3 linked regions of the Macaca fascicularis genome follow. The protein of the gene in region 1 purifies or fractionates together with the protein of each later gene. This does not show direct contact. Links are inferred from orthologs where the notes say so. Each region holds a gene or a part of one and is shown in the gene's direction. Other genes may lie near its edges. The genes, in order: CRY1, FBXL3 and CUL1.

The links.
Region 2: the proteins of CRY1 (region 1) and FBXL3 purify together in Homo sapiens (affinity purification with mass spectrometry; 4 studies listed by BioGRID and IntAct, counting the BioPlex papers as one, with this or other methods). This does not show direct contact. The link is inferred for Macaca fascicularis from reciprocal best matches to the Homo sapiens genes CRY1 and FBXL3.
Region 3: the proteins of CRY1 (region 1) and CUL1 purify together in Homo sapiens (affinity purification with mass spectrometry; 4 studies listed by BioGRID and IntAct, counting the BioPlex papers as one, with this or other methods). This does not show direct contact. The link is inferred for Macaca fascicularis from reciprocal best matches to the Homo sapiens genes CRY1 and CUL1.

What each region holds. Positions count from the first base shown.
Region 1 is NC_088385.1:113,988,986-113,993,094, reverse strand, and holds the start of CRY1 (cryptochrome-1), read left to right. Parts: upstream 1-1,263; 5' UTR 1,264-1,852; coding exon 1,853-2,010; intron 2,011-3,181; exon of another isoform or gene 3,182-3,373; intron 3,374-4,109.
Region 2 is NC_088391.1:68,027,088-68,030,737, reverse strand, and holds part of FBXL3 (F-box/LRR-repeat protein 3), read left to right. Parts: intron 1-2,020; coding exon 2,021-2,192; intron 2,193-3,650. UniProt on the Homo sapiens protein: Substrate-recognition component of the SCF(FBXL3) E3 ubiquitin ligase complex involved in circadian rhythm function. Plays a key role in the maintenance of both the speed and the robustness of the circadian clock oscillation.
Region 3 is NC_088377.1:190,410,828-190,414,477, forward strand, and holds part of CUL1 (cullin-1), read left to right. Parts: intron 1-865; coding exon 866-1,033; intron 1,034-3,220; coding exon 3,221-3,271; intron 3,272-3,470; coding exon 3,471-3,561; intron 3,562-3,650. UniProt on the Homo sapiens protein: Core component of multiple cullin-RING-based SCF (SKP1-CUL1-F-box protein) E3 ubiquitin-protein ligase complexes, which mediate the ubiquitination of proteins involved in cell cycle progression, signal transduction and transcription.

The sequences.
Region 1 (4,109 bases):
TAATTTTCACAGTAGTGTGATAAGTGATGTATCAGAAACATACGTGGAGAACCCAGGGAGGTCCTAAATTTGCCCTAGGGATCAGGAATACTTTCAGAAGTTAGTTATAATTTCATCGGAGTCTAAAGAGGTGTGCAGAAATATCCCAGGTAGCTCAAAGGCGGTTATCTTGAGTACTGGATTCCAAGGAAGAATATTTTATAGAGGAAAAAACAGCAAAGGTTAAGAGACAAATTGTAAACCCCAAGAGGACTGGAGTCTGTGTCTATTTTATTAAGTATCTCCTGTATCTCTAGTGCTTTGAACAGTGCTTAGTTCACTCAAAAAGTAATCATTGAATGAATTTAAGGGCATCATATATCTAAGGGATGGCATGGCCTGCAGTTCACTGTCGCTGGAAAAGTAGACAAACGTCCAGTCTCAAAGAGACCGGTAAACTACATTAAATGTAGATTAGGGGTGAAACGTTGATGATATATATCGCTAGTATTAAAAAATTCCAGGAAGTCCAGGAATGCCTGGCATCCGTCCTGCCAATTACCCTTTGCCCCAGAGCATGTACAAGGGGGAGGAGGCACCCAAGGGCCAGGAGAGTGGAGGGGCACAGCTCCATAATCTCCAAAGTAGGGTTCTCTGGCAAGCACATGGTTTGGACTTGAAATCTACGTGAAGCCTCCCACTCTCCTCCTTCCACTCCATCCTCCCCTCACTCTCCGCCCGACTCCACCTTTGGCTCCTGAAAGACACCGGACAATTTCCAGGCCTTCCCCAAATCCCACGGGAGGAATCACCTAGCGCGCTTCGGCCCGCGGGCCCCGCCCCCTTACCCTCTGGAGCGCAGGGAGAGCGCACGCGCGCCTCTCTGACCAGCGCGCGCGCCCGCGAGCTCCCCGCATCCCCGTGCTCATCCGGGTCTCACCGAGCCTCGGCCAATAGTGCCCGCTCACGGCCCCTGGGGGCGGGGCTAAGCCTTCCCTCACAAGGGGCCTGTGGTCAACACGGTTTGCCTCCAAGGGACGGCCCGCCAGTCGGCACAGGAAAGGGGCAAAGGCAGTGAGCTCAGCGTGTGGGCGAGGGTCAACGGTTCTGGGATCAAGCGGCTGCCGCCCCTCCAGAAGCGACCGAAGCGCGAGCAGATTCCCCCTCCGAGTCAGTGTAGTAAACACACTTCAGAAACGTGAGGTGCCGGTGGTCACGTGGGGAGCGCGCCCTCCAATGAGGAGCCGGGGGCGGGGCCGAGGCCGCTGACGCGGCGGCGGCGGCAGAGTCACCCGGGCAGCCTCGGGACCGGTCACCGGCCGGCAACCGTCCAGCGGCCTCGACCACCGCCTCTTGCCTCCGTCCCCGGTCCTTTCTCCTGGGCCTAGAGACAGCGTCGCCGACAGGGGCTCATTCCCCTTCGGTTCTCCTCGGTGACTCACCTCGGGCGGGCCGTTTTGTCTTTAGGAGCCGCCTTGGTGGGGCGAGGTTTCCGTGACGAACCTCCTGGGGCCGTCCGTGCCAGCTCGGGCCGTCGTGGCGGCTCGAGCTCGTGGAATTTGCTCAGGCTCCGGAGGTCCGAGGCCCTCGAAGTTATGCGTCGCCTCCAGGAGGTTGCGGCGGGCGCGGGCTCCTAAAGGGCGTCAAACCCGGACTCCGCCGACTGGGCAACCTCCATTCATCTTCTCACTGCGCTTCCAGCGCCCCCGCCTTCTCCAGTCCCCTCCTTGGAGTCATTTTTTCCTGTCCCCCCTCTACCGCCCTTTCCTTACTCCTCGGGTGAGGCAATTCTCTTGGAAGCGAAGGTGTCGGCTATGAGCCGGAGCCTCCTTCCTTGAATTTCTCCGTGGAGGACCCGCCGCGCGCCCCCAGCATGGGGGTGAACGCAGTGCACTGGTTCCGAAAGGGGCTCCGGCTCCACGACAACCCCGCCCTGAAGGAATGCATTCAGGGCGCCGACACCATCCGCTGCGTCTACATCCTGGACCCCTGGTTCGCCGGCTCCTCCAACGTGGGCATCAACAGGTGGCGGTGAGTCACAAGCCCGTGGGAAATGGATTTGGGTGTTTAATGAATCTGATGTTAATGAATTCCATGCGATCCGCCAAATCTGAGAATTTAGACGTGGGACTGCCTTCCTTATACCGCTAACGAATTGTAGGTGCCCTAAGTATTAAATAGAATTGACTTAATAGTTCTCTGGCCAGAGAGTACTGACGACCTGAAACACTCGGCCTTCATCAGTGAGTTAGTTATGTGTCTTTCTGTGCTAACGGGAGCTCTTCCCCTGAATTTGTGGAGAATTCTTAGTGCTGGAGTTAAAGAAACACCCTTCCTGTCCTTAGTGGCCTGTGTATATGGATTCCCTTGGCCTGTTTGTGGCATTCGAAAGGATTGTGATGTTTCCTGTTTACGTTTGTGTCTAGGTAACTCATAGTATGGAGAAAAATCATTCATTCAGTACAGCTGGCTCCAGATCCAGTTTTCTTCCACCTTGAGGTTACTGAGGGAAAAGCAAGGGAAACAGCATTATCTGGTTTCTCTGCTCGGCTCTTTTTCTCAACTCCTCCTTGTGGTTGCCGAGACAAAGCACAGTTTTTCTTTCTAGGCAAGTTGTAGTCCTTCTAGGGATCAGAGCACAAAGAAATCTTAGAGATGCTTTATGATCTTCCTGAAACACCGGGCTACGTGATCGTTGGGCCCCCTGGTGGAAATGAAAGCATTAGCTCAACAGAGAGACTCTTGATCACTTACCATGTGCCAGGCACTGATTTAAATGCTAGGGATATAGCAGTGAGTGAAAGACAAAAAGTCATGTCTTCAAGCAGAAAGTAAAATATGTAGTATTTTAGGTGGTAAGTGTTGTGGAGAAAAATAGAGCAGAGTAAAGGGATAAAGAATACAAGGGTAGGGATGAGCAGTTTTAAATATGATAATCAGGGGAAAAGTCACAGAGAAGGTGACAGTTGAGCATACCTGAAGGAGGTGGTGGGATGCAGATATCTAGGGGAAGACCATTCCAGGCAAAGGGAGGAGTAAGGGAAAAGGCAGAGATATGCTTGACCTTTGGAAAGAACAGCAGAAGAATCCAGTATGACTGGAGCAGAATAAGTGAGGGAAAAATAGTAGACGATGAGGTCAGAGTTGACTTAGGGCCAGATTGAAGAGAGCCTTATAAGCAGTTTTCAAGATTTGGGTTTTTACTCAGTGAAGTGGGAATAACTGCAGGATTATGAGCAGAGAAGTAATGTGATCTGACATAAGTTTGAAAAAGAATTTTTCTGCTTGTTCTGAGAACAAATCTGAGAATTTCTCTGCTTGTGGTTCTGAATTGGGGAGTGGAGGTGGACAAGAAGCAGGAAGTCCAATTAAGAAGCTGTTGGCATTCATCCAGGTGAGAGATGCGAAGGTTTGAATCATAGTGATAATTGTGGATGGGGTGAGGAAAAAAAACAGATGCTGGCTATATTATGAACGCAGAATACACAGTATTTGTTGGCAGATTGGATATGTAGTGTGAGAGAAAGAAAAGGAGTTAGGCTGGGTGCGGTGGCTCATCCCTGTAATCCCAGCACTTTGGGAGGCTGAGGCCAGGAGTTCAAGACCAGCCTGGCCATCATGGCAAAACCCTGTCTCTGTTAATACTGAAAATATAAAAATTAGCTGAGCACAGTGGTGCATGCCTGTAATCTCAGCCGCTCAGGAGGCTGAGGCATGAGAATCACATGAACCTAGGAGACGGAGGTTGCAGTGAGCTGAAATCGTGCCACTGCACTCCAGCCTGAGTGACAGAGTACTCTGTCTCAAGAAAAAAAAAAAAAAGAAAGAAAAAGGAGTTATAGTTTGGTGCTATATAAAAAGCACCAAAATTCAGTGCTTTTTATGTAGTGGCAGCTTACTGTTTGAGAAAATTTTTGGCTTGAGAAACTGGAAGGATGGGGCTTCAATTTGCTAAGAAAGTGAAGCCAGCTGGAGAAGCCATTGGGAGGGTGATTGGAGTTCTCTTCCATTAAGTCATTAAGTTTGAGATGTATTTTACACATTCAAATGGAGATAGCAAATAGGCAGTTGGATGTGTCTGGAGCTGCAGACAGAGATCCAGGCAGGGAGTATAAATTGGAGAATTCATG
Region 2 (3,650 bases), on another chromosome or scaffold:
TGGTACTCCGACTTAATGTGTAAAAATCTTCTGAATAGCCTCCTAAATTTTGGATTTGTATCCCTTTTTCAAATTCGGGGTGATTCTAAGTCTCCTCTTCCTGTGAGCAGTCCAGGTGATTCTGATTAAGATGGTTAAGGAAACTCACTCTAAGAAATACGGGTTACATGGTATAGCGCCACCTTCAAGCTTCAAATGGGAAATGAAACAATCTGAATTGATTTTTAGTGTACCTACCATAGCTAAAATACAAATGTACCTACTGACTCATATAGTATATTTAAAAATACCATATTAAAAGATATGTTGAACATAAGTTTTCTTTTTTTTTTCTTACCATTATGCTTATATCTAGTACTAATTTGGGAACCATGAATGGAGCTAATGGAAAGAATGCTTCTTATTAAGTGAGTCTAGGATACTTAATACTGTTTTTCTTTTTCTTTTTTTTTTTTTTTCCGTTTATGGCTTTGGTAGAAGATTGAAATAGGGCATTGCAATATTTTGGAAATCTTGAGAGAACTGAAGACAACATAGAAGAAATGTTTTTGACTAGAGCTAAATTGGGGAAATGGAAAAAGACGTCAGTGATGCAGTCATTAGATTGCAAATGAAATATGTTTGTACAAGATATAATTGAGTTTGATATGAAAATATTAGGAGAAAGATGTTAACATTTAAGTAAATAGTTACTTAATCAAAATCTAAGTAGTTAACCAGTTGTTTAATCACAGTAGGGAAAAAGTAAATTAGGGAATTATGACCAAGAAGACAGTGTTTTGGTTGGGTGTGGTGGCTCACAGCTATAATCTGAGCACTTTGGGAAGCCGAGGCAGGAGGTTCCGTTGTGGCCAAGAGTTTGAGATCAGCCTGGGCAGCATAGCAAGACCCGTCTCTACAAAAAAAAAAAGTTAGCTGTGCGTGGTGGCTCACACCTGTAGTCCTAGCTACCAGGGAGGATGAAACAGGATTGCTTAAGTTCAGGATTTCAAGGTTGTAATGAGCTAAGGAGGTGCCACTGCATTCCAGCCTGCGTGACAAGAACAATACTCTGTCTCAAAAAAAAAAAAAAAAAAGTAATGTTTCATTATACTTTCTTGGCTCTTAGCCTGCCCTCATCCTTTTTCACTCCTGTAGAGAATTTGTAAAGCTAACTGGAGCATGAAGTTGGTTTTGTAGAGAGGAATATGTTGGACCATGTATTAGCCTGCCTTTACTCTCCTAGATTCTTTGCCTAATGGTTTCAACTCATATCTTAGCTCCAACTGAGAGCTGCATACTTTGAGAATGCTTTAATTCCTGTTTGCCTACATTGATTCCTTTAGGTCATATTCTGTCCAACAGATACATACGTGTGTATGTGTTTATACACACATATGTACGTACATATATACATATATATGATACATGATGAATGATTTCATTGGTGCTTTTGTGGATCAAAATACATTAAAATAGAAGACTTGAAAATATTGTAGATAACATTTTGAAGGAATTTTAAACTTGGAATTTTAAGTATGATTTTGATTGTTTTAGAATCAAAATTTCTATGAGTTTTCATATCTCAAATGAGTCTCAGATTTTAAATAGATTATTAATTTTTAATGATGGTGTTAATAGTTACTGTTTAGTGGGCATACCTATCAAACAGAAAAGAAATGCAGTTTAGTGTTATAAAACACTAGGGTTTCCAGATACGGCAAAGTGAAGTATCTGAGAGAGATTCTCATCCCTGGTTCCAGAATTCCTCTTTTTACTTACCAGTGGTTTCTCCAATTTAGAGACACTTATTCTGAGGCTTGAAATGTTTTTTTCCCCTACACATAAATAGGCTCTTCTCAAAGATAACAGATAGTCACCTCTTTTGCCATACTCCCAATAACAGAGTGAAGGGGTGCCACCCCTAAAACATTTACAAAATATTAATGTCATTGTGACTCAGATAAACTGTAGTACTAGGAAACCCCTCAATTCTCATTCCTAAAAATTGAAATAATTTTTTTTTTTTTTTGCTTTTCAGTCTCACTTTATCTCTGCACTGACAGTTGTGTTTGTAAACTCCAAATCCCTGTCTTCGCTTAAGATAGATGATACTCCAGTAGATGATCCATCTCTCAAAGTACTAGTGGCCAACAACAGTGATACACTCAAGCTGTTGAAAATGAGCAGCTGTCCTCATGTCTCTCCAGCAGGTATGTTGTGTTTTTTGCTAGACACATTTTCGTAAAATGCATTGGTATGTTCATCAAATTAGAAAAAACTATGATCATTAACCTTAAAGGTGGATTGATACGACTGCTTCATCTCTTTAAAATATTTTTAATATAGTAATAGAATAGCATAAGTAATAGAATAGCATAAGTTACTAGCCTAGACACTGGCTTTCAGCTTATTTTCCAATCTTATTTGGTAAATTTATGAATAGCACATGCTAGAAAATGGACAGGAGAAAAAGAGGAAAGGACAGTATGAGGTCAGCCTGAGGTGTCCCATTAAGTACAGTAGAATTTTTTCTCATTGTAGTTGAGCTAATAGGGTAAGTTTTGAGTCAGAGCAGTCACATAATTGCTTTTCTTCTCACTATGTAGAGGGAGAAGAGTTGTACTAAGTGGTGGCCTTACATTTTGCAAGATGGTGTTTTTCTCTAAGTTGAATTTTGGAGCCAAGAACCCATCAAATGGGAGAAGAGCATTATAAAAGCTCTTTCCAGTTTCTCTTATATAGGATTTTCTGAGCATTACTGAATTATTCAGTTTGAGATTATTTAAATTCCAGGTGGTTTGTATTGAAAAGAGAGTGTAAATCCTACTACTATATTATATATACTGCTATCTGCTGCTTCATTCCTGACTCCTCCCACTATTGACATGTTTGCTGATCCTTTAGCTGTGTTATTTCGGAAACCTGTTCTTTAAGGGATAGTGTCAAATCTTTGATCTTTACAAAACACTTCCAACCTTCTTGCCATCGGTAAAGGTCAGCCTTCTCCCAAGAAATGATTCCATTTTAGATGGAGATTGCTTGCTCATTCTCCCAAGTCTCCTTGCTCATTCTCTTTTCTCCCACAGGAGGCTCCTGGTGATGAGAATGGCTAGGTCTGTGGTTGTATTTTCTTAGCTGTCTCTGCCACTTACAGATTACCACTGAAGCTATTATAAACCAGAAGTTAGGAATAGGCTTTGGCAGTTCTTATATGACTTTTATTACGTTTTTTTAATTTACTGTATAGCTCTGCTCTCAGAATAAAGTCTGTGCTTCCTGGCTTCATAGTGTACAAGGTCCTTTGTATCTTGATCTCCATCTGTCTCTTGCTGGTCACTCACGTGGAGCTTTTACTTGGGTCCTGTGGAACTACAGATTTTTGTTTGTACCTTTGTTTGTGGTTGCTCAGTACACTTTACCCTGTGGAATACTTGCTCAAATGTTTTAACTTCACCTTGCTAACTGCAGCCAGCCCAGGCTTCAGAGTTCAGCTTAGATGTGATCTGTGTTGACCCGCCTGTCAACATAGGAGAAGAAGGGAACTTCTCCTTTCTGGTTGAGATTTCCCACCTGTGTATTTCCAGAACACTCTGAACGTTTTTGCTAACATTTACCACATTGTATGAGTCTTTATGTCTCTGATTTCTCTATAAAACTGAGAGTTCATA
Region 3 (3,650 bases), on another chromosome or scaffold:
TTGTAGAAATCTGGATAAAAATAATTTTGGTAAATGCACATTTTCTTTACGAGGGCTTGTTAAAGAGGAAGTATTGTTATACTATCGTACTCACATTATTTTTACAGATTACCACAAAAAAGTGTTTTGATGGTTTAAGAAGGAAGAAGATACATTTAAAAATTGAATAGTATTAGCCTCGTTGTCTGAATTGCTGAGTAGGACATGTTGATTTGATTTCTTTTTTGCGGGGGAGGGGGGGCGGCAGAGTCTTGCTCTGTTGCCCAGGCTAGAGTGCAGTGGTAGGATCTTGGCTCACTGCAGCCTCCGTCTCCTGGGTTCAAGCGAGTTCCCTGCCTCAGCCTCCCGAATAGCTGGGACTACAGGCATGCACCATCACGGCCAGCTAACTTTTGTATTTTTAGTAGAGACAGAGTTTCACCATGTTGGCCAGGCTGGTCTTGAACTCCTGACCTCAAGTGATCTGCCCACCTTGGCCTCCCAAAGTGCTAGGATTACAGGTGTGAGCCACTGTACCTGGCCAATTTCTTTTTTAAACAAAATATTAAAAATACAGATGATTTTGAGGTAAATTTCTTAATAAAAAGGAATTACCTGCATATCAAATGTTCAGGGTACTTTTTTTGAGTGTTTGTGGATATTTAATACCATGAAAAATGTTCCTGTTTAATTTGAGATGAAAGAATTGTTTTTACTATATTCTTGTGAGTTTATTAGCATGTTTTTGTATACAGAATAATTTAAAGAAGCCATCTAAAATCACATGTATCAATGTATTTTAATACAGTAGATGTTACTCACTTTTATTTTTAATTTATAATGTGACAAATTAGTCATCTTAAAGCTTTAGTTAACTTGTTTTTAGGATGGAGAAGATTTGATGGATGAGAGTGTACTGAAATTCTACACTCAACAATGGGAAGATTATCGATTTTCAAGCAAAGTACTGAATGGAATTTGTGCCTACCTCAATAGACATTGGGTTCGCCGTGAATGTGACGAAGGACGAAAAGGAATATATGAAATCTATTCAGTAAGAGTTTTGTTTTAAATGTGTTTTTTTAAAATGATAAATTGTCTTTTAGTAAGAGAATCTAGGCAAATATTAAGCTTTTTTCAGAGTAGTAAACTAATTTTCATTGTTTTATCAATAAATGTCCCTTAAATATTTTTTAGCAAGAAAGTAGAGGAATGGGTAAATTGGAGTTCTAAAATACAATTTGTCCATTTCTGCATTTGCTTTTTAAAAATTTCTTCTTTAATTACCTGACCCTACCATCACAATTGGCATGGAACTGCCTGAGTTTTCTCACTGAAAGTCCTGAGTCGTGGCAGTCCCAGGCAAATCAGGTGCCATACCTGAGGGCGAGCCCTGAGGATTAGCCCTCCCATGCTTTATAGTCTGGGAAACCCTGCTTCAGGGAGAGGACCCTGAATTAATTACTAAATCACTCTCATTAATATATGTTGCTTCAGTCAGCAAAAGGGGTTTTTTTGTCCATTGGCTTTCAAAGTATGGTCCCATATTTGTCTGTTTTCATAACTTCTGATAAACTGCGTGAGACTGGGTAATTTATAAAGAAAAGTTTAATGGGCTCAACAGTTCCACGTGGCTGGGAAGGCCTCATAATCATGGCAGAAGGCACATCTTACATGGTGGCAGGCAAGACAGAATGAGAGCCAAGCGAAAGCAGAAACCCTTATAAAACCATCATATCTCGTGAGACTTATTCACTACCATGAGAACAGTGTGGGGGAACCACCCCCATGATTCAGCTCTCTCCCACTGAGTGCCTCCCGCAACATGTGGGAATTATGGGAGCTATAGTTCAAGGTGAGATTTGGCTGGGGGCATAGCCAAACCGTATCACGTCCCCAAACCTGCTCTGTCAGCATCACCTGGGGACTTGTTAGAAATGCACATTCTTAGGCCTCATCCTAGACTTAAGGAGAAACTCTGGAGATGGGGCCCAGCAATGTTTTACCAAGCTCTCCAGACAATTCTGATGCATGCTCCAGTTTGAGGACCAGTGTTCTAGAGCAATTAAGGGAGGACTCAGAAGCTCTCCAGACAATTCTGATGCATGCTCCAGTTTGAGAACCAGTGTTCTAGAGCAATTAAGGGAGGACTCAGAACAGTCTGTTCGTGATCAACACAGGCAATGCCCTTTAAAACTAGTTTTGTTAAAATGTCAGATTCTACATAAAGAAGTTAATCACCATATCCAAGAATGTTGCTATAATAGCAATACTTTGTAGCTTCACTTTTGACAAATTTAAAAGAAAAACATAATGCTGGTTGCAGTGGCTCATGCTTGTAATCCTAGCACGTTGGGAGACCGAGACAGGAGACCAGCCTGGGCAGCATAATGAGACGTACAAAAAAATGTATCCAGGCATGGTGAGGCACCTATAGTCCCAGCCACACATGAGGCTGAGGTAGGAGGATCGCTTGAGCCCAGGAGGTGGAGGGTGCAGTTAGCCATGATCGTACCACTGGACAGAGTGAGATCCTGTCTAAAGAAAAAAAAGAAAAGAAAGAAAAGCATAATGTATCCCGGATGCATGACTTGTTTTTATTGTTTGTGTAACTCCAGTTTCTATACCAAAATTGTTAATTGGTTCATAATGATACTTTGCTATGTAGTTAGTCTGGTTCTAACAAAACTTTCTAGGTTTAGTTGTTTGATTTGGGGTTTTTGTGCTTCCCCTTTAACATTTTGTTTATTTTTTTAACTGACAAAAATGTGTACACCATGCCTTTTTGAAATATGTGTGTATTGTGGAATAGCTAATGGGATTTTTTTTCTTTTTCACATATAAATGCTTTCTTGAGACTCCAAAGTTGTTAGTATAGGAATCAGGATGATCTTGGTTCATTTGCTTTTGGAAACCTGCTTGGCCTAAATGTGTACCCTACAGTCACATCACAGACTCCTAAAAATAATTACGGTTTTTAAACTTTTCCTATACTGTTTTCAACAACAGTTAAAGAAAATATAAATAAAGAAGTTGAGCTGACAAATGTCTGTGCTTGGATACCTCTTGAAGTTGTTGACTCTAGAGAGTGGCTTTCTGATTTCGTCATGATAGCAGATTTTGACCAACTTGTAATCTAGAAATTTTGATGAAGTAATTTGAGATTTAGATTATTTCCTACGACTTCAATCTTGGAAAAACATAGTAAAAGTATAGATATTTTGTACTTTTTTTTCTCCAGCTTGCATTGGTGACTTGGAGAGACTGTCTGTTCAGGCCACTGAATAAACAGGTACCTACTGGTGTAAGCGTGTGCGTGTGCGTGTTCCTTTTAAAATCCCTTCACAGTTTCGTTGCTTAGCCTTTGTCTGCTCACTCCTTTGGATTATCCCATCTTACATTGTTTAATGGCTGTGAATGTTTAAGGGATATGTAGTAATATCTATCATATTCTATAACCTGTGTAATATTTTTCTACATCCTTTCTAAAGGTAACAAATGCTGTTTTAAAGCTGATTGAAAAGGAAAGGAATGGTGAAACCATCAATACAAGATTGATTAGTGGAGTTGTACAGTCTTACGGTAAATAATTTCCCTTTAGTTTATTCAAAGTTTCCACATCAAATGGCAATTATGACAATGCTCTAACAGATTTCACTTTAAAATATTTT